Styela clava: one gene and its partners. The protein of the gene in region 3 purifies or fractionates together with the protein of the main gene of each other region. This does not show direct contact. Links are inferred from orthologs where the notes say so. Each region holds a gene or a part of one and is shown on either strand. Other genes may lie near its edges.

Region 1 (6,916 bases), on a different chromosome or scaffold from region 3:
GTACAGATTATTGCCTCGATTCTCTTCCGTATCAGAATATTTTCCGTTCACATCCGCCCCGTATTCAATTAACAACCGTAAAACGTTTGGATAATTAGATCTTGCGGCCATGTGAATTGGCGAGCATATATTTTCCGTGCTACCCTCAGGGTTGGCTCCTAGTAAAATATATTTTAGGTGAAGATAACAGTATTATAATATATGCTTGTGATGTGCATATATATATATATAAAGAAAACATATAAATTCCACGGAAACAAAAAATAATTTAACTAAAATAAATTATGTTCTATCAAAAAAACATTGAAAACTTACCTGCTTTTAAAAGTACACTGACGCATTCGGTTTTATTATATTTTGATGCTGCAAGCAATGGAGTCTGTCCTTTGATATCGGGTATCTCTAAACTAAAATACATGAGAATTACTTAATTTAGATAATTAGCCAACATGACAGATCATGTTGTCTATGTTTCACATGCTAACATACGTTGATTTCAGGTAATTTAGAGTTTAGACGAACTTTATTTGAGTTGATTTCTGTGGCTAGACCAGTGTATTAAGCCATAAATACATATTGGTACTTGTATGGTATATATAAAAAGTTCTTGAAAAATTGTAATAGGTATACCACGGTGAAAAAGGTAGACTATAGTATCACGCGTGTTGTCCATTCCCAGCGCAGGTACTATTCGAATATTCCATTTTTTTTCATGAAATTTCTGCTCACAAGCCAATCTATCTAAACCGGTAATGCAATGCGAGAAGCAATGCAAAATATTCAACAACGACGTAAGAGTAAGTGCTTAACGATAAAATTCAGGACTATAGGAAATTCCGAAAAAGGAAGTAGCGCAAACAAGAGTTTGTCACAACACTTAATGGAGTTTTATCACAATTATACCAAGCATTGATATGAAATATACTTGTGTCCATTTGTTCTGCGATATTGTAGCGGTAACACAAAGTATACAGATATACAAGATCAATTACACAGTATCAAACTCCGCGCAAAGAATCTGTATTCACTCGACCTCGTGGCATTCTCTCTTGTCATTGCATCTTTCAGTTATAAGATACTTTTTCACTTACTCTGCCCCACACTCGCATAATGCTTCAACTGTTTCAGTGTGTCCTAACGAAGCTGCAATCCAGAGAGCTGTTGCGCCGAGTCTATTTCTGCAGTTGAGCAATTTTTTTGAAGCTTCCAAACCAGCATCTGTAACTTCATCTTCATATTTTTCATGAGCAAAGCGAAGAAAGGGAAATTTTTTTAACACATTTAGTCCAGCTGAAAACAATAGCATGCTTTTAATTTCATCTAGAAATATTTTACAGCATATAGTTTTATGACATAGTTTATCATGTACTTGTTCAAAACACACAAAGTACTTATAACAAGAGAGTAATAGGACGATATATGACGTGATGGAGAATTTTTCAAAATGATACACCATTGATCTACATTCTACATCCAACAGCAAGGAGTCAATTATAGTATCTAAAAGTTAAATCCCTCGGGGTAATACTCACAGAGTGTTTTGATAGGATAGATGAATGAAACAATCCAATGTAACTTGAATGTTGTGTACCCAACAGTCTCTTATACGCTATATACGGTAATTAGTATGGTTCTGATGGAGCCAAATTTTATGTATGCCAATATATCATAATATCATAATTCCATAGCCCTAACATTATAGTGGATTTTGAAGAGATACTGACCTATGTCTCTTTTCTTTATAGGTTTGCCAGATAACAATCGACGTGTCTGTAATATGATGCGTTTAAATTAAATGAACTTCTTCAACTATACATATAAAATTGATATCACGCAGAACGTAAGAAGGTAGAAAGACTTGAATATGTTATAAATATGATACACTATGATTTTATCAAATCGCCTCTGGTAAGATTTTAGTTTGAAAATGCTGAAGAAATAAGTTTTCAAACAAAGTAAAAAATACTACATCCATACTACAGCATTTTAGTCTCATACGACCAGTATCAGTAAAAGTAAGAATTTTCTTGAAACTTCCTTACTATAAGATAAAATATCCTCTCATAGTAATCGTCAATGTGTGGAAATTGGTCTGTATATGGATGTATATGAGTATTGCAATCTTATACTTTCGGATACTCTATCTTTAGCAAGTAATCATTAATTATTGCAATTCGTATCCAAAAACAGAACTTCATGTTCTCACACCTCCTCAGCATCGCCCCTCCTTGCAGCCGTGTGTAATTTTGAATCTTCACCTTCTGTGATTCCGCCGAAAACACCGGAAAGGGATTTCACAAGGTCAACTCGGAGTGGAAGTATGGGTGATTGTTCATTTGTTTCTGTACTATTGACGCCACCAGCATTTCCAGATATACCGAGGCTTGCATTTTGAACACTTGAAGTAGAATCCACATTAGGATTATTGGCAACCTGCATTTAAAAAGCATTTTTGGATGGAATATATCAAAGAACTGTGTGGCATATCCAGTCCAGTATGAGAATAATTTGAAGGACTTCTGAATTCTGATGGCGACTTAACCCAGCCATTTCCGCCACTTTGTCAAGGGTGCAATGATTCAAGTAGTTGAACCGTGAAGATCTGAGTAGTTCCAACGGTAGTAGGCACTTATATATCAATGCGTTTTCAAGATGCGGAAGATTTTATAAAGTTATATCAAGCTTTTTGGAATTTCAGTAGATTGCATGGTACAGAAACAGAAGTTCTATAGTGGTACAGTGATAACAGTCGCGTCAAAACAATAGAAAAGTGAGGGGAAGATTTTTTATTACAAATAGTCATTTTATGTTTGCAAGAGTCTTTAAAGCATGGTTTGTTGAACTAAAATAAGAAATTTCAAATAAGAGTAGCAAAATACCTGATTAGTGATTGAAATCTCTCCATCTTCATTAAAATTATTTGGAGTCATGACTTTTTTATTAAAACTAAAGATTTTTGTAAGTAAAAATCAATGAACTGAAAAAGACATATGGATATTATTGTCAACATTTTTAGTGGGAGTGATTTTCATTAAACGTGGTTAGCCTGAATTTGATTTATTTTTCGCTATCGTTAGTCTATACTTGACCTGTCAACTCTATCACTTCGCAGATTTGATAGATTTGAAAGTCCTGTTTGTGGTGATCCTTCAAATACTTACTCGTTTGGCACAAAGTAGGTATAATATGTATTGTATCAACTGTCAAACGTCTAACTAATCTTTTACTTCAAACTGAAACGTATCTTATCCAAACTACTGGTGACAGAACAAGATTACACTCGGAAATTTAGAATTAAAAACGCAATGAACACATCGTTTCATCTGATAAGATTTGTCATCAAGAAAATTTGGCATACACATCCAATCACATATTTTAACTGCGGTAAGGATGATAAAGACTTTCTCTGACATCAGACGAATTTTGACTTTTTAATTACAAAACACAAATAAAAAATAATGCATCGTGAATTATATTGCACTTCAAATATTGCTTTCTCCGAGTTTTCGTACTGATCTGTAAGGTCCCAAGCAAAATCCTGCGTTTTCTATAAGAAACAAATTTCAATGATCTGATAGTATATGTTCTTGCTGTCCTATAACTAACTCAGTGAATGCTACTGGCAAATATCTGATTACCTATTCAAGTTGAAAGTTTTGAATGTCCACATGAATGTTTCTCGTCTCTACTTATTGGTAGATTACTCGCCGTGTGACAACAACTGGCTCTTTGTGATAAGACGAAGTGCTAAATGAGCACCATGTACATTAAGTTCTCTATATTGAAAAATAGATCTTATTTACTTGTATTTTAAAGTTGCACTTAATTAAATTTTATTTTAACATAAGGTATAATCTTTATGAACGAATAATGTAATCGTAAAAGGTTTTTATGCGCCCGATACTTGATAGATGAAAAATTCGGACGGCATTGTAAACATATAAATCATCATATTTACATACATACGCAAGTAAAATCACTGAAAATTTTCTGCAGTATAAATTATAATATACACCAGGGGAATTCGCTGCTTGCATCTTCTGTGCGTTCATGCATGATGGGTGCGATTGCCCTGTTTCGCGCTTATAGCTCGTGGATCGTCGTTCCGAAAGAGCAGCTGCGGCTTGCGAGTGGTAAATTTTCGCACAATACACGTTTATTACTGGTATAACAGGATGTATAATAAGAAAACTATTATTTCAGCACTATGAAAAAGTTTCAGTTGATGGTTTGTGGATAATTAAAAAAATTGCATAAAAACTTTGATATATACATGATCATTCATGATTAACTGACGAACTAAATGCAAATGTGCTTATAATCATGCCCACTTTGAAAAGTTTTGTTACATTTATTAAAATTCAAAAATTTGTACATTTATTAATTGTAGAAACTCATTATATTCAAATGAGTCCGAGCAATGGTACTCCCGTAGTGTGTGTACCAGATGAAGGTTAGACCATAATTTGATTCCGGTTTTCCTCATTTTAGTTATATTTTGAGTTAATATATACCCCCTGCCCATAGATTTCAGTCCCTTTACACAACTTAAAGTAAAGTAGGCGAACAAAATGAGTTACCTTCGCATTGGTACCTATACTACTGGAGAGCCCGAGCAACGACATGACAGGGTATCGGGTAGAATGAAATAAGATAAACTTGTACTGGATACAAATACTTTATGGAATGTTGACTTTCTTTGCGGAGAATGAGGAAATCGCAGTTAGAAACGATGAGATAAATGCATGCAAAATATATGGGGGGTGTGATTCGATCAACATTTTTAAGAGAACTTGGTTTTTAGACTTTGCTGGATACAATAACCGAATGCTTTGAATCTGACAGATTTCAGTGCAGTTTACCAACGTCTTACGTTCACGGTTTAAATACTTTTTATCTCGCTGAATTCACAAGTATAAGAACAAAAAAGGACAGCAATTGTATACGAATTCACTTGGTTATTTGTGAGGAGTTTTATAAATAACGAGGCCTCAAAAAGAGCAATTTGAAAAATAGCAACGAGAGTGAGTGATGGCGTTTGATGATCATTGATTTAGGTAACAAAAGTCTCCACTCTGAAGTTTCTCAAAAATTCCAATATAAACACAGAGATAATATGGTAATGCCGTTGATTATCTCAAGAACAAAATTCAAATGGGTTCAGATCAGTAATTTTTAGCCCAAATACGCAGAAATATTATGATAATACTCAAATGTGCGGTTTTAATGGAAATATATTTCAATCCGAGAAAAAAAAATTTACATATCTCCAATAAAATTGAATATTTTCCCAACCACGATGATAATATAAGCAAATTTAACCACTTTGAATTAAAAACGACTCGATGCCGGATATGATAGTGGTTTGATATGTTGCAACCTTGCCCGCACGTCATTCAAATGCAATTGAAAATACCATGTTTTCATAGTACAAATTGCGTAAATAGACATAGGAAAATGAATATAATGTAATTTCTCAAAACTGTATCTGTAGAATTTTTGGTTTATTATTGCACAGACGACGATAAGCAAATTTATATCAAAGATTTAAAAATATTTTTTTTTAATTTTTGGAAAAATTTCACATCACTCTATAAAAGACTCGTCTTTTGGAATCTATAGTCACATCTCGGTGTGTGTGTCTTTACAACTTCAAGAAATTCTGAAGGCCGGTTGAATCAGAATCGGACGAGTTCTTTGTGTTACAAGGTAAGTTCGTTGGCCTGTTTTCGTTTGCGAACTGAGTGTTTTTAATCTGACGTGAATTCAATTCACTTTTGACCTGATTTGCACAATTTTTCCCACGTTTTCTGGCCCCATCCATGCACGTTTCCGGAGCACGTTTCACTCAATATGCAAGATTGTGTCTGATTTGGCGGCAGACGATGAAAGGTAACTGACTTGATTGACCGCCTGTCAAACATTTGGCTTACATGGAAGTAGTCCTCCTAGTATTTGTTTGACAATTTCCTGCATTACTTCCAGGAACCATTTACAGAGAATATACAATGGATTGGTCGTTTTTGATAATATTGGTAACTAGTGTTTTTTTCGTGAACATGTCCAATGGACAACCACGGCCAGGGTAAGTAAGTGTTTTATTGTTAGCAAACGACAGAGTTGTTGTTCGTGTGTTGAATATAGCGTTACCGTCTTCGTAAGAATTTACAGCCATTCAACATTTTTAATTTGACGTTCAAGATGTTTATGTCTTCGCTGTAGTAGGAAAAAATGGCTGCGAGTATGCTGTAGAGATTCTAACCTTTTTAAAAGTAACATCCAGGAAATTTTTTTCGGAGAACTAAATTGAGTACTAAAAACGTAACTTTGAAACGTTTGGATAGGGTTCTAGGTCCAAGTCAGAGGTGGGCAAGGTTTTTGGTCCAAGGGCAAGAATTTTGCCCATCTAGGCTGGCGAGCAAGTGTGACGTAACAATGTGACACAGTGTTTACAAAGGCAAAAGTGGAAAACAATAAGCCTCGTGCCAAAACTAAATTTAATCGCAATTTCAACAAATTCCTTGAGTTCTTTTTAGCTAAAACATCAAAATTTGGTTTTAGTTTGGTTGTCGCAGCATCACGCGGGTCAAATTGAATTACCCAACAGGCCGGATTTGGCCCGCGGGCGTTAGTTTGCCTATTTCAGGTCTAAGTGATTACCTTTGACTCATGTAAATCTGTATATTAAGCAGCCCTTTTTTTTATTGGAAATAAAAATTTGGAGTAAAATATTATCCACGGCAATATTTATTTAAAATGTTGAATTTGTACTGTTTTTCAGATATAAGCAAGCAGTAAATCCACTTCCTGCTTACCTCGAACGTAAGTTTATACGACTAGAATTTGCGCAAAACTAACTCATTGTAATTTCTCAGACATAGTGATTGTCACATTGGATATAGTAGGGCGGGGGATG
Region 2 (7,308 bases), on a different chromosome or scaffold from region 3:
ATTTGGTGATAAAGTTGATAAAGGAAAATCAAAGCTAATACAAATAATAAAAATCAGAATAAAATTATTTTGAATTCACTCCTTGATATTTGTCTTTAACATCTGTCTCCGGCGTGTGGTACTGCCGGGAATATGAAAACCAAACTTCGATGTCCCATTCGGAATAGAAGTGGATTAAATTGGTTGGTATGCTAGGTTTAAATGTGTGAAAAAAATATCGCAATTACGGGGTCATTACGTAATCGATTTGGCCGTAATTACGGAATTGATTTTTGTCAATTACGTGCAAGCCTAACTGGTGCAGAAGTTTTGAAGAAAAAAACTTGTCTTCAAACTCATGACCCAATTACAATCTATAATATGAGTCGAAACGCAATTAGAAAAATTCAATTTATTTTTGAAATTCTTAATTAAATGTGGACATACAAGAAGTAATTTTTAGGAAATATACTGATATTTTGTGGTGAAATTATTTCACGTTGCACTACTGCACCACGACACACATTCTAGGACCACTGGACTAGTTTATTGTGCCAATATAAGTCGACTTAAATTTATTGATCAATCTTTGACAACTTTTTACAGCATATTCTAACAGGTTCGCAACACAATGAAAGTCCGATTATTATACAAATTTACTCGGTAAATTCTAATTAAAAAAGGCATTAAAAAAATATTATTCAAAATCATCAGCAGAAAACAATTCTATATAAAATAGCATTCAGATGAATTTCTTCAGACATATTTTAATAGTCAAAGAACACTGTCATCTTAAATTCTATTCTACAAAGGTAATTTAGGTAAATAAACAAACTCACACAGCTTCCTTTTCCAACTGAACAAATCAGAGATGGATCAACAGGAGAAAAAGCACAATCAAACACTGATAATGGATGTCCTGTTATTGTTAAAGTCATGTTGCCATCGTCAGCTAAATCCCATACCTTATTTATAAGACATGAAAAAATTGCAATGAAAAAAACATACAGAAGAAAGAACGATTGAGTTATATTCAAAAATTCACGTAAGTTATAAATATCAACTGATAATAGTTTACCTTCAAAGTCTTATCTAGCGAGCATGATATAAGAAGTGGTTCCCCGAGTAAAGCAAAAGATAATGCTTTTACATCGAAATGATGATCTGACAAATTATACATCATTTCACCTAAAAAAAAAATGGTGAAAGGTTCAATAGAATATCAAAGGAACAGTGAGCCAGTCTTAGATGCTCAATGGAGAACACAATCAGATAAAAACTGTTGGACTCTCACTTAAAATCAGCCCGGGAGCATAGTCGAAACATGCAAGATAATACTGTTCATTACATAAATTACATTCTAAAGAGTATCATGAAGTCGGCAGGATAATCAATCGAAAGATTTTTATCGAGCCATATTTTTGGGGTTACGACCTTCACCAACAGGCCACAGCCCTGGGATATTGCTTGATAGGGTCCTCATTGTTGCGCTGAATAGCCCTAATTTCATTATCCTGATGTGCCAATGGTCCGGGCATGAAACACTGTGATAAAACTATACATATCATATTGATGCACAGGAAATTTTCCTTTGTACTGATTGATATTTCCAATTGAAGAAAGGGAAATTAAAACCAACCATTCATGCTGGGTTTACGGGGCTGAAAATATGAGAGAAAATGCCTGAACCCTCAACTAATTAATATAAAAAGTCACTGACTAATCATGGGTATATCACCTGTAAAAGGGTTCCATAATTTGATTCTTCCACAGTCCAGCCCAGTTGCCAAAAGATACTTAACATTTTCATTTACGTCACATCTCAAAGGACCAAACTTTAATGTTACGACCTTCTTTGCACAGTCAATTGTCAGTTCAGAGTTACTAAAAAAGTGGCATAATTTGACATATTTTAGTAGCATAATTTTATCTATCAATATGTGGCATAATTTTTTCTATCAGTATGGGTGACAAAAAGAGATCTTTAGATTTTTTAATAAGGTACTTCCATCAAATTAAAAAAAATCTTTTTATTGATTATTCATTTGAATACTTCTACAAAAATTAAAGAACACTTTAGCTTCTGTTTGTGTGTGATTATACCCAAACATTTCAGTAAATTAGTACACTTTGCAAAAAAGCTTTTTTTGAAATATGTTTCAAATGACAAGGGTTCTGTTTATTGAGTCACCCTGTATATACATATTCAGAGAAGCAGATACTTCGCTGAACGTACTTTGATAACAAACTATCTTCTGATGCATTCCTGTTTGCGATGGGTGCAAACCAGCAAACTTTTACAAATCCATGTGCAATAGACCAAGCTAGTAATTTTCCATCCGGTGAAAATGCACAACAATGTGTTTCTCCAGCATCTCCAAGTCTGCGATGTGATGGACCAATAAAACTTCTGGACTCTTGGATATCATCTAAAAATAAATCGAAATTAATCAGGTTTTTGCTTCAGAATTGGTATAAAAAACATCAATCACACGCTTATGTTGTTATCGCTCCCTACAGCTGTACAGCCGCTGTCAAGTGATCAAATATTGCGTTTCATGCTAAAAACCCTAGAACGCACATAATTTTGTTGATAATCCAATGGTACCGGTATCGTTTTCAGATTGTGCGTCCTTTTACTTTGATAAAAATACACTACCGGTACTGAAGTAGAATAGACTAATAAGATCTAGTTCTGTAGTTCCTACTGCAGTACTGTCAGAACAGCGGAATGTAGTCCAGTAGTGAATTACTTTATGGTACCAGTATTGATGATTTCAACAAGTAGCACTAAAAGACTAATAATAGTGACTAGTACAATATTTTTTTTCAAATTTTTCAGTAGTTGAATCAGCAAACAAAAAAAAATTAATCACCTAGGTCAGCATCTCCATCCACAAGTTTAATTTTTAAAAAGTTGTCCAGCTTTAGTTCATTCATTAATAATAAGGTTTTGATAATTACGGTACTGAATAGAAAATAAAAGGGTGAAAGGGGGGCTCAGTCAAAAAAAAAATAAAAAATGATAGCAAGCCGAAGGGCGCCGACGACTGAAAACAATATAATGTAACCTGAGTCAAGAACAGGTAAAGTAAACTGTAGCTGGTGAACATATCATAATTTTCAAAATTAACCAACTAAGTTTCAAACACTCCTTGACTACTTCGACTCGACGACAATCAAAAGGAGAACTCTATGAATGAGTTCTGGAGTAAACAAGGTATACCACTGTGAAGTGAGTCGCACGGTGACCTTTGTGCGCAACCAAGCAAAAAGTTCAAATATCATAGCAGAATTGCAGGCGGGAGTAAATACCCATGCGCATAATTCGGAAAATGAAAGTAAAAAAACAAAATAAAGATATTCTTATGTATCTGACTTGAAATAATAGTAGCGTCTAAAAAAATATTTAAAGTGCGAATCATCAAGCAACAACTTATAAATATGAGTTGAAAACTACAACAGTACGGCACGAGAAAGTACTTTAAAAAAAGATTGCTGAAAGGTAATACCGAAGTACCTCGCAAGTTAAACTAAACTTTATTGACATTTCTTTATACAGAAAGAATACCAACATTTTCAACAACAAAAAATATAAATATGCTATATTGTACAACTAGGAATTTTTGAGAACAATCCAATATATCAATACAATATATCCGAAATACATTGCTGGAAATGATATAGTTGTATCAAATAGCCATAATTAAATCATTTGGTATTACACCTTTTCAACCCATTTCGCCCAACTGGGGTGAGATATTATTATTTGATATTGCTAAAGTTCTAAAAGTCTACACAATACAACTTGAGTCGATGGGTACAAAATTTTAAAATTATGCGTAATCGATTGCTGAAAAGTGCCTATTTCTCAAATAATGGCATAGGTGAAAAACCGTGAAAATACACACTTTTCAAACGTTAGTCACATCGCTTTCCGCCCAAGTGGGGAGAGATTTTATTATTTTATATTGATTAGGTTCTAAAAGTCTACACAAAACAACTTGATTCGACGGGTACAAATTTTTAAAATTATGCGTAATCCATTGCAGAAAAGTGCCTATTTCTCAAATAATGGCATAGGTGAAAATCGTAAAAATACACACTTTTCAAACGTTAGTCACATCGCTTTCCGCCCAAGTGGGGAGAGATTTTATTATTTTATATTGATAAGGTTCTAAAAGTCTACACAAAACAACTTGAGTCCATGGGTACAAAATTTTAAAATTATGCGTAATCCATTGCTGAAAAGTGCCTATTTCTCAAATATCGGCATAGGTCAAAAATCGTAAATATATACACTTTTAAAACGTTAGTCAAATCGCTTTCCGCCAAAGTGGGGAGAGATTTTATTATTTGATATTGAGGAGGTTTTAAAAGTCTACACAAAACAACTTGAGTCGATGGGTACAAAATTTTAAAATTATGCGTAATCTATTGCTGAAAAGTGCCTATTTCTAAAATGATGGTATAGGTGAAAAATCGTAAAAATACACACTTTTCAAACGTTAGTCACATCGCTTTCCGCCCAAGTGGGGAGAGATTTTATTATTTGATATTGATTAAGTTCTAAAAGTCTACACAAAAAAACTTGAGTCGATGGGTACAAAATTTTAAAATTATGCGTAATCCATTGCTGAAAAGTGCCTATTTCTCAAATAATGGCATAGGTCAAAAATCGTAAATATATACACTTTTCAAACGTTAGTCACATTGCTTTCCGCCCAAGTGGGGAGAGATTTTATTATTTGATATTGATTAGGTTCTAAAAGTCTACACAAAACAACTTGAGTCGATGGGTACAAAATTTTAAAATTATGCGTAATCCATTGCTGAAAAGTGCCTATTTCTCAAATAATGGCAGAGGTGAAAAATCGTAAAAATACACACCTTTCCAAACGTTAATCACATCGCTTTCCACCCAAGTGGGGAGATATTTCATTATTTTATATTGATAAGGTTCTAAAAGTCTACACAAAACAACTTGAGTCCATGGGTACAAAATTTTAAAATTATGCGTAATCCATTGCTGAAAAGTGCCTATTTCTCAAATATCGGCATAGGTCAAAAATCGTAAATATATACACTTTTCAAACGTTAGTCACATCGCTTTCCGCCCAAGTGGGGAGAGATTTTATTATTTTATATTGATTAGGTTCTAAAAGTCTACACAAAACAACTTGAGTCGATGGGTACAAATTTTTAAAATTATGCGTAATCCATTGCTGAAAAGTGCCTATTTCTCAAATAATGGCATAGGTCAAAAATCGTAAATATATACACTTTTCAAACGTTAGTCACATCGCTTTCCGCCCAAGTGGGGAGAGATTTTATTATTTGATATTGATTAGGTTCTAAAAGTCTACACAAAACAACTTGAGTCGATGGGTACAAAATTTTAAAATTATGCGTAATCCATTGCTGAAAAGTGCCTATTTCTCAAATAATGGCATAGGTCAAAAATCGTAAATATATACACTTTTCAAGCGTTAGTCACGTCGCTTTCCGCCCAAGCGGGGAGAGATTTTATTATTTTATATTGATTAGGTTCTAAAAGACTACACAAAAAAACTTGAGTCGATGGGTACAAATTTTTAAAATTATGCGTAATCCATTGCTGAAAAGTGCCTATTTCTCAAATAATGGCATTGGTGAAAAATCGTAAAAATACACACTTTTCAAACGTTAGTCACATCGCTTTCCGCCCAAGTGGGGAGAGATTTTATTATTTTATATTGATAAGGTTCTAAAAGTCTACACAAAACAACTTGAGTCGATGGGTACAAAATTTTAAAATTATGCGTAATTCATTGCTGAAAAGTGCCTATTTCTCAAATATCAGCATAGGTCAAAAATCGTAAATATATACATTTTTAAAACGTTAGTTACATCGCTTTCCGCCCAAGTGGGGAGAGATTTTATTATTTGATATTGAGGAGGTTCTAAAAGTCTACACAAAACAACTTGAGTCGATGGGTACAAAATTTTAAAATTATGCGTAATCCATTGCTGAAAAGTGCCTATTTCTCAAATAATGGTATAGGAGAAAAATCGTAAAAATACACACCTTTCAAACGTTAGTCACATCGTTTTCCGCCCAAGTGGGGAGAGATTTTATTATTTTATATTGATAAGGTTCTAAAAGTCTACACAAAACAACTTGAGTCGATGGGTACAAAATTTTAAAATTATGCGTAATTCATTGCTGAAAAGTGCCTATTTCTCAAATATCGGCATAGGTCAAAAATCGTAAATATATACATTTTTAAAACGTTAGTTACATCGCTTTCCGCCCAAGTGGGGAGAGATTTTATTATTTGATATTGATTAGGTTCTAAAAGTCTACACAAAACAACTTGAGTCGATGGGTACAAAATTTTAAAATTATGCGTAATCCATTGCTGAAAAGTGCCTATTTCTCAAATATCGGCATAGGTCAAAAATCGTAAATATATACACTTTTCAAACGTTAGTCACATCGCTTTCCGCCCAAGTGGGGAGAGATTTTATTATTTGATATTGATTAGGTTCTGAAAGTCTACACAAAACAACTTTAGTCGATGGGTACAAAATTTCAAAATTATGCGTAATCCATTGCTGAAAAGTGCCTATTTCTCAAATATCGGCATGGGTCAAAAATGGTAAATATATACACTTTTCCAACATTAGTCACATCGCTTTCCGCCCAAGTGGGGAGAGATTTTATTATTTGATATTGATTAGGTTCTAAAAGTCTACACAAAACAACTTGAGTCGATGGGTACAAAATTTTAAAATTATGCGTAATCCATTGCTGAAAAGTGCCTATTTCACAAATAATGGCATAGGTGAAAAATCTTAAAATACACACTTTCCAAACGTTAGTCACATCGCTTTCCGCCCAAGTGGGGAGAGATTTTATTATTTTATATTGATAAGGTTCTAAAAGTCTACACAAAACAACTTGAGTGTATGGGTACAAAATTTTAAAATTATGCGTAATCCATTGCTGAAAAGTGCCTATTTCTCAAATATCGGCATAGGTCAAAAATCGTAAATATATACACTTTTCAAACGTTAGTCACATCGCTTTCCGCCCAAGTGGGGAGAGATTTTATTATTTGATATTGATCAGGTTCTGAAAGTCTACACAAAACAACTTGAGTCGATGGGTACAAAATTTTAAAATTATGCGTAATCCATTGCTGAAAAGTGCCTATTTCTCAAATAATGGCATTGGTGAAAAATTGTAAAAATACACACTTTCCAAACGTTAGTCACATCGCTTTCCGCCCAAGTGGGGAGAGATTTTATTATTTTATATTGATAAGGTTCTAAATGTCTACACAA
Region 3 (7,804 bases):
TGTCTTGAAGTCGATGACGAATATCACAGAAAACATGTTCATTCCAACTATCTAGCATCAACTGAAAAATCAAACATGAAATTAAATTTGATATCAGATACATTTTAGAGCAACATAAGATAAGTATATATAAACAATAGGTTTTGTAGCTATTTTGCGACAGAGGGAAAGCTAAAATGATGATTAACTATGTTGCTAAATATATCCTTACTATAATTCATCAGTCTGATAGTAATAATACCATACTAGATGTGGGAATCTGGTTGGTGTAAGAAATCAAATCTGTTTAGTCATTATGTAAACACTATATGACGTAAGGCAGTTCAACAAAAGGACCATCCTTCAAAATCAGAACGCGAGTGAGTCCCTGTGAAGGTGAGAGTTTTCCTAACATTTAACCGAGTAAGTCAACTATCTCTATTTTTAATGATCCAACCTTTAGAACTAAAAGTAAAACATAACATGGGTGCAGTGGCCTTGTTTTTAAAACATTAGACATAACTATGATGTCATTGCAGGTTAAAATCTTTGGTTCAAATCCTGAGAACAACCACCTCACCCATGTTGTCACAAACTGAACCAGTCCTTCCAAACTATAATAGCACCTAACAATGGCTACTCGTGCAGAGCCTCGTTTAGAGAGAAGAGTGTCTTATTATACTAGTAACATCATAAATCCATACAACCTTCCTAATAATATTTCTGGACTCGTTTTTCTTCATTCCCAAATTGTTATCGGAACTTTCAAGTGATTTTTCAAGAGTGCTGAAAGCAGGCGGTAGATATAGACATTGTTCAAAAAACTTTGTCCAAACCGAAATATAAGCTTTCAAGAGAGCAGAATTGTCATCATTCATTTTTACTTTCTAAACAATAAAAAAATATTTGATGTAAGAATAGAAAATTTTATTCAAATCCATAATGACAGAGTAAAATTACTCACAAATTTTACTTAATCTAATATTTGACTTGAATGTATTTTTTTCTACACAATCACATAACTATAGTAATATAACCTAATCACGGAGGTTGGCAAAAAATGTGTATTCTACTAGTTCTGATACATTCTTAAATAGTATATTCTAATACTAAATCTTTGAAATTTTTCTAAATTGGGTTATGTACAGCAAAGAGCACATAGAAGTTAGTTTACATTCAATAATTTGCATTTGAAATGCAGAAAAGATGAAATAAATTTTGATCACACTGGAAGATTTCAATTGCTTAATAAAATTGGAATTGATATAAATATTCGATTTGGTTTGGACATATCTTCCTAAATAATTCATCTTATCGACAATTCTTCAAGTAAAAAAATCGGTTTACCATCTTTGCATTCTTTATAAAATTAGAAATTATATTTTTGAGAGCCTCATGTACTTGGGCCACTCCTTTATCTTCATCCCACAGACATACAGTGTGAACGTCGTAAAACAAATCCTAAACAAAATAAAGAATATGTTCTTGTACTCCATTGTCCCAAAACATGATTAAACATAAATATAAATTTTTGTAAATTAAGATTCGATACATTGGAAGAAAGATTTGCACAAAACACAGGCCAGTTCAGCCAATTGCGTACAATAACTTGAATAACCTTAACATGTTCAAAAAATAGAGAAGAAATATTATCAATTAACCACCACCTCCACTTGCCATCTAGCTTTCCATGAAATCTCAATAAAATTTGCTAAAAGAAGGAAACAGCATAAGAGCTGGCGATGAAATATAAAGAAAAATCATCAACAGCAAGAAGTCATAGAGATAATGAGCTGAAACTTGGCATATGAATAACAGCGTTTTATAGTAGGCCTACTATAATTTTTTGAGGAGACATGCTTCCGAAGTGTCTAGAAATATCAATATGATGATTCAGGTTGTATTTCCAAGTATAATCCTAATGTTTAAACAAATATTACTTTAAAAACATTTTTCATAAATAAGTTTCATAATAGCTAAAATCTCAATATAGATGTGAGTAAACTCATAGTAAGTCAAATCTCACTTTCAGTTTGAACCTTCAATCTATATCACACAAAACTACCAATGTAAACCAAAACGTATTACTGGACCACATGTTTGTAGATTGAGTTAAGCCAGTAACTGTATGTTATTCTCGTAACTTAATATATGTATGTAACCTTACATAAAGATACAGGGCATGTCTATTGACATTGTAGGCCTAGTTCTGCTAAATTTAAGTTGATAATTGTAAACATCTATTCTACCTGCCATTCCTCTTTTGAAACTGGTTCTTGTCCCAATAATTTGAGAACAATTGGTTGCATCTTCGGCCATTTGTTATCAAATGTTTTTGAATTTCCCTGAAACAAAAATTTTAACATCAACAACAATTGAGAATATATGGATAAATGCAAAAATAACATTTTACTGGTGATTCAATCGGGATAAATAGGTTAATTTAAATCCTATCCTAATTCAGATATCCCAGTATCCCAAACTTATCACATAAATATATAGCATGCAGAAACGATATACTGTACCGGTATCATACAGAGATACTGAAATCCTTCAAAAATACCGAACACAGTTCTGTGTAAATTTATAATAATCAAAGTGAAAATATTCTGTCATTGCAGTATTAACTTCCAGACTTTAGTCCTTCAAATATCAGTATATACAGATATATCTAACATACCTGAAGCATCGCCATCCTTCAGCTTTATGATTTTTCCAAACCAACTAATTCAGATCTCTGAACGGTGAAGTCCCAGAGTAAACTATGCGGCGACGCCTGAAGGCCTATTGCTGATCTCCGCAGCAGTTGTACGATCCTAGCTGCGAGATGCGGCTGAGGTGACTAGCTAACAGCTGATACAAATGCGACCAAGCGGAGATAAACAAAATATAGCGAAAGTAGAATATTATAACCGTTGTAATGAATGTATAAGAATGGCTCGGAATTATAGCTCGAGATATTGTATTTAAAAGTACGAGGCAAATGTGACAGACATATCCTGCTTTCACAGAGTCACAGATGATGTTACACATGCGTTTACAATCAAACATCACAAGGCAAGAATAAATGACATGTGAATTTCACAGCTCTTTGGCGATTCAAAACTAATTTTTACCAGATTATGGGAATTGCCAAAAAGTCAGAGGTAGTAATTGGTGACAGTCTTAACATTCAGATACATGGATTTGATTTTGGAAGAAGTCGGTTAGATGTCGTCAAGTAATTCAAGTCAAGGAATCAAGTAATTCTCTTGCACATTGATTATTGGAACTTGAGTATCCGTGAAGGGTAGTCAAAAGTGCAAAAGCTAACGTGTTTCTGGCGCCAAGTATGTTATGCCAACCGCCAATATTTCGGTAAAATTGCAATGATGGAGTATCGGAACATCCGATGTATGGACGCAAAGAGTGCATATCGCCAGCCTATTGAATGGCCCAAGTCATATTTCCACATTTTGAGTAAATGAAATAAAACTTCATAACTTTCTCATTTTTCAATCATTTTCAAAATTCTTTTATATAGATTCATTTTATCAAATTTTTTAATATTTTGGAATATATATAATTTCTAAAAAAATTTTCATATGCGAAAAATTAAGTACCGCATTTTTTCATTCCCACACCCAGTGTTAGGCAATATTAATCGCATCTTCATTCCATATTTTCTACGTGCATTCGCTTGACCTATATACGTTGTTTAGGTCCATTCGGCAATGATGAAAAAATAATGAGAGAATAATTTCATTAAATAAATATGTTACCCCCAGACCGGATGTATTTTATTCAATTTACACGAAGAATATAAAATTTCACAACTCTAACAATATTATAGAATCAAAACATCATCAACTTACTTTGAACTTAAAACATTAACAAACAACTTCATTACATGAATTCATTGTATATTTCATTAAAGTTTGTATAATCTACTCGTGAGGTTATCCTAAAAATGATGGCAGCCAATTCTGCTCTCTTACCGGATCTAATGCTTTGAAGGAACAACTGATTCATTCTTTTGAAATCAACTGAGGGAACAACTGATTCATTCTTTTGAAATCAGTGTGCTCCATTTGGCGGGGGTGATGGATTGATTCATGCGGATTCCATAAGTACGATTAAATCTTGTTCAGTAAAAATGTCTTCTACGATCTTATATACGTTCAATGACGATGTGCATTGAGTCACATTCCATATGTGCGTGTCCAGCCACCAAACATTTTTGCTCCATATTTATGTTGTAAGTTCTTGTTAGACTAGAATATGCATTGGCTACCGTGGTATTCTTATTTTGGTAACCGCATCCATCGTTCCAAATTATGATATGCTTCAGCTCGGGAATATTACAAATGATTCCTTGAAATGCTTAAACTGCAAGTAAGCAAATAATTTATTGGACAGATTGCCTTCAGTTTCATTCCAGACGTTACAGTACCTGCTTTTGATTTTGCATCATATAGTGTGAAATTGACCTTTCGCTTACTTTTGCACACTTTCCACTTTTCGGGTATGCCTGAACAACAGCTCATACGTTAAAAGAGATTTTATGTTTAATCCAAGACAGTTGAGTTCTGCAAGGCAAAAACGTAGATGCGAACATATCTTTGCAGACTGGTCTAGATATACCGGATGGTCAGATGCTTAACCGCATGTGTCTCAACCAGCGTATTTATAAATATTTTGAGTTCAGTGCAAGTCGTCATTGACCAAAATTTAATGAAAATAGCAAGGCTTTGATATTCATTCACAACGTTACATCGGTATTTGACTTTGCTAAGAATGAGATCCACATGGAGGCCCTGGTTGATGATTGGGCCAATTCTTCCTTTTCCAGATTCCATATTATTTTCCAGTGGCCCCCTGTTTTTTTCTTTATTTCGTTTCTTTTCACCATACACTCAGTAATCAGTAGTTTATTTTATCATCACATCGAAAATACACTTTTTACATACGAGGTCAGGAAAAAAGATGAAAAGTTGCATTCCGCGGTAAAAGGAGTCGCGATAAACCAGAAGTGGTTATCGAGCAGTGACACCCGTGAAATGAAATAGTCTAGCATTAAATTATACAAAAGTAAAAATGAAAAAATCATTGAATCATGATAAGAGTAAAAATACTAACACAAATAGCATATGAATATATTTGCGAGACCGGATATTTCCGGTATCACTAGAAGAAAACGACTCCGAGCGCCAACAGGCAGATAACCAAGGCAACCACAGGACGGATAATTCAAATAGCTAATAAAGGCATTGGATGCCGTCTCTTTTCTCGGTTAGGTGATGCTCGTCTTCTTCATTGGTACTGTCCGAGATGCTCGTCGCGTCCAGATTATCCACTAACATCAATATCCAGTATTTCGTGGAACGGTAAATAGTCACTTTCACTATATAAATATGCATCGGAATTCCCCTCACAGCCGTCGATCTGGAACTCTACGGAATTTCCGACTCCATTCAGCTCATCTGTGAAAACTAAATACGAAAACACGTGAAGATCGCGCGCTACCATCGTCATATAACTCGGAGTCAAATAACTCACTACATGTAACAATATTATTTGTAAGAAATGTTCCCTCATTTAAACATGGGCACTAGGTTGTGTTCCAGGAAAGTCTATCGCAGTATATATTTTTCGCTGTCGCTGCTGATAATAAACAAGAGAGCAATGCTCAAATATATGGACACGCGGAACAATTCTCCGAAAAATCATATTCGGTGACTTACCAGTACCTGTATAAACAACGCACCACATCACAGGAATCAAACAGACAAAAACATCGTGGTCGCAAATTGGTTGACAAAGATATCATCGACGTATTGGAAATGCGCTCCCCCCTATTCTCCCTCCTTTTAATGTAAAAACGCGAAACCTTTAAAGATGGTTAAAAGAAACACAACTCTACCCACCTGCCAAAGTTCATCTTTTTATCTCTTATATTTGTATGGATTTTCAAGCTTTTGACAGCTAGTTAGTTCAGTGTCACCGCGCTAACAGAACTTCTCTATCTTTGAAAACATTGGGCTTGACAAATACTGACATAACACAGTATCAGCATTTGCAAAGTTATAACTACTAGGCATTCTGACATTTGATATATTCCAGTATTCGGATACCGGTACAAATTTTGGTTTTCGTCCGAAGTAGCCAAATCTGGTAAAGGAAATTCATTTCACTACCGGTACCAGGCATTCTGACATTTAATATATTCCAGTGTTCGGCACTTACCGGTACGGGGTAACAGCGTATGGTACCGGTGTTAGAACTAAGACAACGCAGTTACCAGTACGGTATTAGGAATAAAATATTTTACATGTTTCCTGTTTATAATACAATAACTGAATAACCGTATTGGTCTAGTTACGGTCTACATACCGGTACATACTTGGTCTACATACCGGTACTGGTCTACAAGACATACCACAGTCTACAAATATACTGACACCAAGCAAGCAGTCCATGATTTCGAAAAACAAATACCGGTAGCGATGGCGAAGCAGTATTTACCTTTGACGCCACCGGTACCCACAAAAAATTCCGAGTTTCGCATAGAAATAATTTACAGAATCAAACCGGACAGCCAGTGTTCCCATGGATAAAATAATACAGTGTGGCGAACCACTTAACTAATAATAGCCGTTATGAGTCACAATTGTTTTGTTTATGTTTTTGTCACGCATGATTACTTACGTGCTTTTCTTACGATAACTTGTCATTCTGTTTTCTGTTCGCTTGTCGTTAACATTGCTTTGTTATGGATTAAACATCAACATAATTGAAAGTCTTTTTCTTGTTAGAAAGAAGTTAGTTCGCTTCAAATGGTGACCCCGACGTGATAAGCATACTTTTGAGAAAAGAATACGCACATAACGAAGAATATGAGTGAAGACAACAAAGTAGGCATAACAGCGGTATCATTAAAGCTGCCGATTTTCTGGACTAAAAATCCTGCCGTTTGGTTCCACCAAGTCGAAGCGCAGTTCGCTGTTCGAAATATCACAACAGATGAAACAAAATACCACTACGTGGTTGCCGCTCTGGATGACAATACCGCTGCCAGCATTCTTAATGTTCTCAATAACCCGCCGGAAACGAACAAGTACCAAGATCTCAAAGAGAAGCTCACTACTAAATGTTCGCTAACGGATCCTGAACGAGCTGCGCGCCTTTGTTCAATGCCTGGACTAGGGGATGGAACGGCAACGGAACTTATGGACAACATGCTTGCATTGTATCCAGTAGGTAAGACACCTGATTTCTTATTTCGCCATTTGTTCGTCAGTCATCTGCCACCAGACGTCCGGTCTCAACTTACAGACATTTTAACAACCACGGGCGACGATTTTCGGAAGCTGGCAAGGAAAGCAGATGATATTTTAACTGCAAAAGGCTATGAGGTGACAAACGCTGTACAAAAAACCAGTTCGTTCAAACCATCTCATGTTTTGTCTGAAATGTGTTTTTATCACAGGAAATTCGGCAAGAAAGCCAAAAAATGTCGCCCGCCATGTTCTTTTGTGGTTTCGGAAAACGCCATAGCCGACCGTCAGTAACCTCTTTGGCGGTCGGCGATTCAAACCTTTATTACGTCACAGACAAAAACTCTGGACGCAGTTTTTTAGTTGATACGGGTACACAAGTCAGCGTGCTGCCTGCCACCAGTCATGACCGTCGTTACGGGCGACCAGGACAAGCACTTTTGGCAGCTAATGGCACCTCAATTACGACATATGGCACACGAAAAGTGCCTTTGACTATATGCGTTAGAAATTTTATCTGGAAATTCACATTAGCCAATGTTTCACGGGCAATTATCGGGGGAGATTTT
Region 4 (7,445 bases), about 7.6 Mb from region 3:
CATTGGGATCAGCTCCCTAAAAATAGTTTACATAAGTGAAAAAAACATTCTAATCTAGCAGTATTTTGCAATGATCTAGACATCTTTGATAAGATGAATATCAAATCTCAGTACTGCAGTAGGCTATGCTGGTATGAAGTTAAGAAACAGTATCCAGTTATTACAATTCCAGATAAGTATATTTGGGCAGTCAAAACACTTCAACCTGTTAATTATACCACATATCTCACGATTCTCACACTAGCACTGACATAGCAGAATGGCCAGACTTACTAACTTATTGATACAGTCAGGGGCGCAGCCAGGGGGGAGGTTACATGGGTCGTAACCCCCCCCCCCCCTTTGGAATCTTTTTTTTTTTTAATAGTGTTACGTTTACTTGCAATAATTTTATTCTTTGCGTTATCACTTTCGCCCAGCGTCCTAATTTATTATTTATGTTTACGATTCGTTATCTCTGTTACGCGGCAGTGGATCTAGCTGCCAGCGGGGGGTCACGGAAGTGACAATCTACACTAAACATTTTTAAATACAATTGTACTACCTTTCACTTGACACAAATAGCAACGGACGTATCACACTATTGCCGTCAAAACTATTCCACAAGCGCGCTCTCGCCTCGCCACATTCAACGCATCCATACTTTTAATCACATACGTTATCGTTGGTTATCGGCTTATCCCTAATTACGAATTTTAGTTATGTAGTGCATCTTTAACAAGCGATGGCACCAGGATCATAAGCAAATAACAGACAAAATGAATTATTGGAAATGTATGGTTCATTAACAAAGGATTGCCAAATGTGGCAGCATCGAAAAAAGGTGTCATAAAATAATATTCAATCTTCGAAAACAAAGCATTGCAAAATAATGTTCAATCTTCGAGTAAAAAGTATCGTAATATAATGTTCAATCTTCGGGATTTTTGGGTAGCAAACTCGTCCAAGACTCGTTTGGAATCGTCTGTCTGCGAAAAGCAGTTACATGCGTTGTCTTCCAGATCTTTTCAATAAACTGGTAACAATATGTTATTAAATTATATTTAAATTATTATAGTTAAATTATTGCTGAAAGTGAAGAATGCAGCAAATTCGCGACGATTTCACTTTCAGTAATATAGGTCTCGATGCATTGCAATAAAAATTAGAATTTATTAACAGTTAATTGCAACAAGCAAGAGTTTTACATTGAAAGACGTTCCCAATCAATACGATACATGAGCTTGTTTTTAAATGATTGTAATGTTTTATGAAGTTATAAATACGGGAACATCAAATATATTTATTTTGGAAATGGATTGATATTTCGTGACGCACTCTTATGAACCATTGGCATTTGGCAAATATCATTAATTTATGCTATTTCTTAATGTTTCATGATTGCTAATATTTCATTCTATTCTTATTTTACATTTTTTGCGGTATTTCAATTAAAATCATGACGATGGCATTTTATTTAACTGTTGACAATGGGGTAATAATCGGCGATTACTAAAAGGTTGAAATGGGACATGCCAAAACAAAATAAACGAATTGACGCCTGTCAAAGGGGGCAGGGTCTGGCGACAAATAGCCACATGTGTCGGTGTTTCTCTATCATCAGCATTTTCGGCATCACTTTGAAACTCTAAATCGCAAGGACACCCCGCGGAATGAAGACTTTCTTTCGCATAGGGAAATATTTGAATTACGATTGCTGAATAAGCGAAAAAAACAAATGCTTATTTTCTTGCTTGAAACAACGATAAACCAATTTAACCCTGTTGCCAAAAGTAATAGCATGCATTATTAACAAACTGGTAATAATATGTTGATAAATCGCCGCTAAAAGTAGAGAAGCGTTATGTGCAAATATCACAGGAATTTGAATTTGCGACGAATTCACTTTCAGTAATATAGTTAACGGCGCATTGAAATGAAAAGTTGATTGATTTTTTTTGACCAAAGAGAATGGTCGGCGATTGCTGAAAGTAGGACATGCAAAGAAAGGCTAATGAGACACAGCGACGCACATGTTGTTTTGCCATCGTCGGAACATCTTTTTAAAGACCTATAAACGCATTTTTATTTCACCGTAACCCCCCCCTAGAAAAAATCCTGGCTGCGCCCCTGGATACAGTAATAATGTTCTATTGTTTCATGTGCATTCATTCAAAATTGTTTACCAAACGAAAAATAGAAGGAAATGTTGTCTATATTCAGATATTCGGCCCGGCGGTGTGGCTCATCGTGCTAAGCATTAGGAATACGCTCGCCACCGCACCTCTGATTACTCTGCGTGGGTTCGCAGGTTCGAATCCCATGCGGAGATGATCATGTGCGAGAGGATTGCTGGACTCCTCGCCGCTGTTGGGTGGTTCACGTAACCGCTGGTCGGTTACGGCTTCCTCCATCATCAAGTCCATGCTTCTGTGCTTCCGAAAACAAGTAATTAACTAATCCCATACCAGACATGGAATGGTAACCGGACGAGAGGCCGTGGTTCGCCAAATGGATAAACCGTCTTATCGGCTTTTCTCTCCCCCGGGATAAATATGAAAATCCTATCCTATCCTACCGTTTGAAGGGCTATCCTATCCAAATGTTTCTTTTGCAGCTTAGTATAATACAAATCAATAAATTTGATGATTGAATCAACTGAATATGAAACAGAATGCTCACCTTGTCCAAATATTCCTTCACTCTTTCTGACAGAACTTTTTTCGGTGGCGGTAAGTCCAATCTTTCATAGCATGAATCATTATTCCGTAATATCTGATCTATCATTTCCTGTGTCAGGAGATATCGCGTTTGTAAGGCCTCCATTATGTGCCACATATCAACATAGCTATCCCTTGTTGTCATTTGAAAATTAATATTTCTTCGTTACAATCTTTCTAATTGCTCGCCCATGCATCTGCGCAGTTTATGATTACAGAATTATGAGCAAAATTCCATATTATTTATGTAAATTTGGACGGACGACATAGCTATTTTACGCCGACGACCCGTATGTCATTGTTTACATCCGACGCCGCTCTTTGGCGTCATCTTACGTTGTAGGAGTAGATCATTTACAATTTATGAGTGGAGTAAAGGAAAGGATAGGATTTACATATTTATCCCGGGGAGAGGAAAGCCGATAAGACGGCTTATCCATAGGGCGAACCACGGCCTCTCGTCCGGTTACCATTCCAAGTCGGGTATGGGATTAGTTTTACTGTATTGTTTGTTTTCGGAAGCATGGACTTGGTGGTGGAGGAAGCCGTAACCGACCAGCGGTTACGTGAACCACCCAACGACGGCGAGGAGTCCAGCAATCCTCTCGCACATAACCATCCCTGCATGGGATGCGAACCTGCGAACCCACGCAGAGTAATTAGAGGTGCGGTGGCGAGCGTATTCCTAACGCTTATCCACACCGCCACACCAGTGTGGACATTACCTCAACGAGTATAGACCAAAATACAGTATTGGGAATGGGAGCGTGTAGCGGTATCCACCCAATAAACGGAAGGATTGTGTGGGTGCCTGTTACCAATGACTACGTTAAGGTAACCATATCTGAAAAGACAAAATCCCTGACAAAATTTAAACCATGGTAATAATGCCATGGTATAAATTCGCGATGTATCCAAGTGCACAAGCTGCCGTCGCTTTCGCGTGAGAATAGAAAAATACAGAACAAAACGAATGGTGCAAAGTTGTTGCATTTCACTAAATCAACTGCATAATATTCGATACCAGTTTCCATAAAACTTTTAAAGGCAGCGGTGCAAGTACAGATGTCATGATCGCTTCCGTCTTTTTTCGGCACAAGAATTTTTTGTTCAAGTCAGAATTAGGGAACGTTTTTTAGCAAGTACAATCATACACAAAAAGCTGTTGTGATGCTTGTGTACGCATAAGCGCCCTCGACAGTTGTAACTACATCTCCTGTTTTACATCCTGTTGTGAGAAAATAATTCGTCACTTTAGTAGAAGAGGAATCTCCTCTCACTGCTAGATGTTATTTTGAATCCGGAAAACTTTGTAAAAAACCGAGATGTATGTTCCTGATTTACAAACTAGGCATTCTGCTTCTCATTCATTTCTGCCATTCCGAAAGCATGGGTGTCATGCCTTCATATCGTCAGTAAATTTACATTTTCGCTTTGTCATTTTCAACAGTACAAAATTGCAGCTTAATCTTCAGCACTAAACCATAGCACGGAGTAAAGTACAAGTAGCCTACCCGAGGTGCAACCTAAATACCGATTACAAAATGCTGACAAAAAAGGTCATATGTGAAATCAAAATTATCTAAATGCGATGCAATCCACGTTGCACAACAAAGCCTGCATGACATATGTCTGAAAAAATCGCTTTATTGGATTGGTGCGCAATATCTGAAAACCACTCGACTGGTTACCAGTACCGTACTAGTCTATATTGGGTATCTGATTAGCCAGCCAGTTATTCGTTTTCAGATGCACGAGCTTGATGGTGTGCATTTATAGGAAAGGGTTTACATATTTCTTCCGGGGGGAGTTGAAAGTCGATAAGACAGCTTAATCATATGACGAACCACAGCATCTCGCCGGTAACCGTACAAGTTCATGCCAGGTATGGGATTAGTCAGCCAGTTATTTGTTTTCAGATACATGGACTTGATGTTGGAAGCCGTATAACCTACTGCGGTTACGTGAACCACCCTACGGCGGCAATGGAGTCCAAAAAATATTCGAATTTGGACAACCCTACTAATAACAATACAACGATATTCAAATATAAGGACACTACCGTCAGGACGAAGGAGGCGAATAATGCGTGATGGATTTCGGCAGCAGTTCTCAAATTTTTTATTCGCGTGGCGCCAAATTATCAGGGAAAAAATCACCGCGCACTGATGTTTTCAAATAAAACTCAATTTTTGTGATCGTTAATTTGTGCCTTTGTTTGTAAACATGTAGGCCTAGAGAATAAAAGTCGAATTTCCCTTCTCATTTATGCCTGGTTCTCCTTTAAAATGCTAAAAAATTCATTGTATCAAGTGGTCTATCTCTATTGTTACGTAACAATAGAGGAAGACACTATATAACATAAAGTGTAAACGACATAGAAAGGTCAAATGAATTCATCGATTCATATACACAGCATTCAAAATAAGAAGCAATAAAACTTTTATAATTGATACAATATGTAAAGTGCTCAATCATATTTTAGTTATGTTTAACACATTCTGTTAATTTTCGCGGCGCACTTAGCAACTCTCCCCTCTTTCGCGTCGCACATTTTGGAAACCGCTGAATTAATTTAATGATTAGTAATTATTTTAGTCGACGATTCGTGAAACCGCAACAATAACTTATAGTGGGCGTGGCGTAACAATTTTTGCATATATATATCATTTCTAACCGCCACGTAACTACGTCATCCAAAACTTACGTAAGACAACATGCCAAAAGCAATACGAAGTAAGCTTGGGAGCATAAATGCTGACTCTCCGTCGGAGACCCCGCAAACGAGTGAGAAGAACGTTCTATATAAATTTATAGTTCAGTGCCTCGACCTGGCGGAAGCAAGATTATGTCGAGCAATTTGTTGCTAGCACTTCTCCTCACTTTGTATTGCTATGTCACCAAGATGTCTACTCTCATAAACCGAGTTTAATTTTGCATCGAACTTGCTAACAACAAGTTCACTCATTTCAGAAAACTTGCAGATCTAAAACTAGAACGGGTCGGCTGATATCACGACATTTCAAGAACGTATTCGCGGGAAGCCACCGAATCCCACCCATGTATATGCCGGTGCTAAAATCTGCGCGTGCAAATGTACTTGAGTGCAAACGTCAATGGGTGCAAGTGTAGGTGGATTCATAGATGATGGAAACTCTTTTTAGTACTGTAGGTCAGGGCTATTCAACTATTTTTACCGAAGATTCGCATACAAAACTTTAAAAATATTTGGGTCCGGACCTTCCAGAAATTATATTCCGGCATCCCTAAACACGCACTCTCTCGGCAGACTAAAATGAATATTAGCTATGTAAAATTGTTTATTATTGCGTTATAGTTTTTTTCATATATATTTAAACCTATAAAAGGGATTTTATAAAAGGATACTTCAAGAGTGGGGCTAATGATTCAAAATAAAGAATTAGTCGCTGTCCGAATCGAATACCCGAAAGGTCCGCCAGTTGAGTAGTCCTGCTGTAGGTTATGGTTTTCCATTATATTTATGAAACAGTACGACATTACTTTTTTGTAATATGATATCACATTTATTTGTGTGTGGTCATTGGCCGATGGATATTATGCAACAATATTATATTTCATGTCTATAACATGAATTGTAAAAGATATTAGTCAGAAGTCCATGTTTCGTACTTCAATACTCAATTTCATGAGTAGAAATTATTTTTCTTCGATTTCGTATTTTGTGAACCGTCTTCTGGTACAAAATCCTTCCCAGTGTGTAATAGGGGCTTCTCCGTGGTTGGAAAATACATTCCATATGTCCGCGACATCTTTTCCCGTTGGTTGCTTTTTCTTGTGCTTGACGAGGGCAATCAGATCTGAATGAAATGAATTGGAATGAATTAGCCGTTCTCATCCAGTATTATAGTTGAAGCAATACGTTTGGAAAGAGCTATCTATAATTTCTACATAGACTTACTAGAATCGGGAGCACATTTTGCCATAATGAAGTATTCATCATAGTCCGTAAGGAAGAAAAAATTTCCAGTCGACATCTTGTATATCACTAGAAAAAAATTTGAGATAGACAATTTTCTGAACATTTTAATTTGACTAAAATACTTCAACAAGTTCAGTTACAACTCTCATCTGCAAATACATAGAGTCAAAATAATAGAAGTTATTTCACCTATAATTCGCAAGATTGACAATCTTCATATTATTTACATATTTTACTATGATATACTATCAGATTCGTTTATTTGTCTTAGCTATTCTTGGCAGATTATTTGGTTTGATTAACAAATGTAAAGTTTGAATTTCGCCACTTACTAGCTTCCACTTTTTGAAGCCCAGTTACGTTGAGTTTATGCTTGAACGATTCTCTAGAACTTGCTGCCATCGATGGAACTGAAAAAGAGGTTTTCAGAATAAAGAAGTTTACTGGTTATGACAATTTGGATAATTGAGTGTTGTAGTGAATTTCATTGAGCAGTTAAAATATTATTTTGACCAGATATATACTCAATCAGTTTTATATATCGGAAACTAAGTTAAATTTAAACGAGTTCAAACTCACTGAGTTCAGGATTTGCAGTATACGTCCCATCTCCATTATCTATATAGTGAATCAAACTATCTAGTGAGTCTTCAGTTGCTCGGCTTAAAATAATATATGTATGTATAAGTTTTACTTTCATATGATAACAATTCTCATTTTTCATTATTATCAATTAAGCTCAATTGATTACCCTTCTACTTGTAGTGTCATTGTAAGAATGAAGC

The links.
Region 1: the proteins of cullin-5-like (region 3) and ankyrin repeat and SOCS box protein 12-like purify together in Homo sapiens (affinity purification with mass spectrometry; 6 studies listed by BioGRID and IntAct, counting the BioPlex papers as one, with this or other methods). This does not show direct contact. The link is inferred for Styela clava from reciprocal best matches to the Homo sapiens genes CUL5 and ASB1.
Region 2: the proteins of cullin-5-like (region 3) and WD repeat and SOCS box-containing protein 1-like purify together in Homo sapiens (affinity purification with mass spectrometry; 4 studies listed by BioGRID and IntAct, counting the BioPlex papers as one, with this or other methods). This does not show direct contact. The link is inferred for Styela clava from reciprocal best matches to the Homo sapiens genes CUL5 and WSB1.
Region 4: the proteins of cullin-5-like (region 3) and uncharacterized protein LOC120348408 purify together in Homo sapiens (affinity purification with mass spectrometry; 3 studies listed by BioGRID and IntAct, counting the BioPlex papers as one, with this or other methods). This does not show direct contact. The link is inferred for Styela clava from reciprocal best matches to the Homo sapiens genes CUL5 and ASB8.

What each region holds. Positions count from the first base shown.
Region 1 is NC_135252.1:8,869,877-8,876,792, forward strand, and holds the start of ankyrin repeat and SOCS box protein 12-like, read right to left. Parts: upstream 3,014-6,916; 5' UTR 2,931-3,013; coding exon 2,880-2,930; intron 2,434-2,879; coding exon 2,209-2,433; intron 1,771-2,208; coding exon 1,725-1,770; intron 1,291-1,724; coding exon 1,092-1,290; intron 408-1,091; coding exon 316-407; intron 159-315; coding exon 1-158. Other genes in the region: chymotrypsinogen A-like, read left to right, coding at 6,009-6,085, 6,782-6,822. UniProt on the Homo sapiens protein: Probable substrate-recognition component of a SCF-like ECS (Elongin-Cullin-SOCS-box protein) E3 ligase complex which mediates the ubiquitination and subsequent proteasomal degradation of target proteins.
Region 2 is NC_135252.1:10,399,621-10,406,928, reverse strand, and holds the start of WD repeat and SOCS box-containing protein 1-like, read right to left. Parts: upstream 3,016-7,308; 5' UTR 2,920-3,015; coding exon 2,856-2,919; intron 2,409-2,855; coding exon 2,216-2,408; intron 1,864-2,215; coding exon 1,718-1,863; intron 1,168-1,717; coding exon 1,058-1,167; intron 945-1,057; coding exon 819-944; intron 1-818. UniProt on the Homo sapiens protein: Probable substrate-recognition component of a SCF-like ECS (Elongin-Cullin-SOCS-box protein) E3 ubiquitin ligase complex which mediates the ubiquitination and subsequent proteasomal degradation of target proteins.
Region 3 is NC_135250.1:10,414,748-10,422,551, forward strand, and holds the start of cullin-5-like, read right to left. Parts: upstream 3,015-7,804; 5' UTR 2,675-3,014; coding exon 2,660-2,674; intron 2,325-2,659; coding exon 2,229-2,324; intron 1,441-2,228; coding exon 1,327-1,440; intron 867-1,326; coding exon 687-866; intron 62-686; coding exon 1-61. UniProt on the Homo sapiens protein: Core component of multiple cullin-5-RING E3 ubiquitin-protein ligase complexes (ECS complexes, also named CRL5 complexes), which mediate the ubiquitination and subsequent proteasomal degradation of target proteins.
Region 4 is NC_135250.1:17,968,368-17,975,812, forward strand, and holds the start of uncharacterized protein LOC120348408, read right to left. Parts: upstream 3,021-7,445; 5' UTR 2,845-3,020; coding exon 2,662-2,844; intron 17-2,661; coding exon 1-16. Other genes in the region: uncharacterized protein LOC120348287, read right to left, coding at 6,378-6,538, 6,640-6,726, 6,993-7,070, 7,240-7,322, 7,412-7,445. UniProt on the Homo sapiens protein: May be a substrate-recognition component of a SCF-like ECS (Elongin-Cullin-SOCS-box protein) E3 ubiquitin-protein ligase complex which mediates the ubiquitination and subsequent proteasomal degradation of target proteins.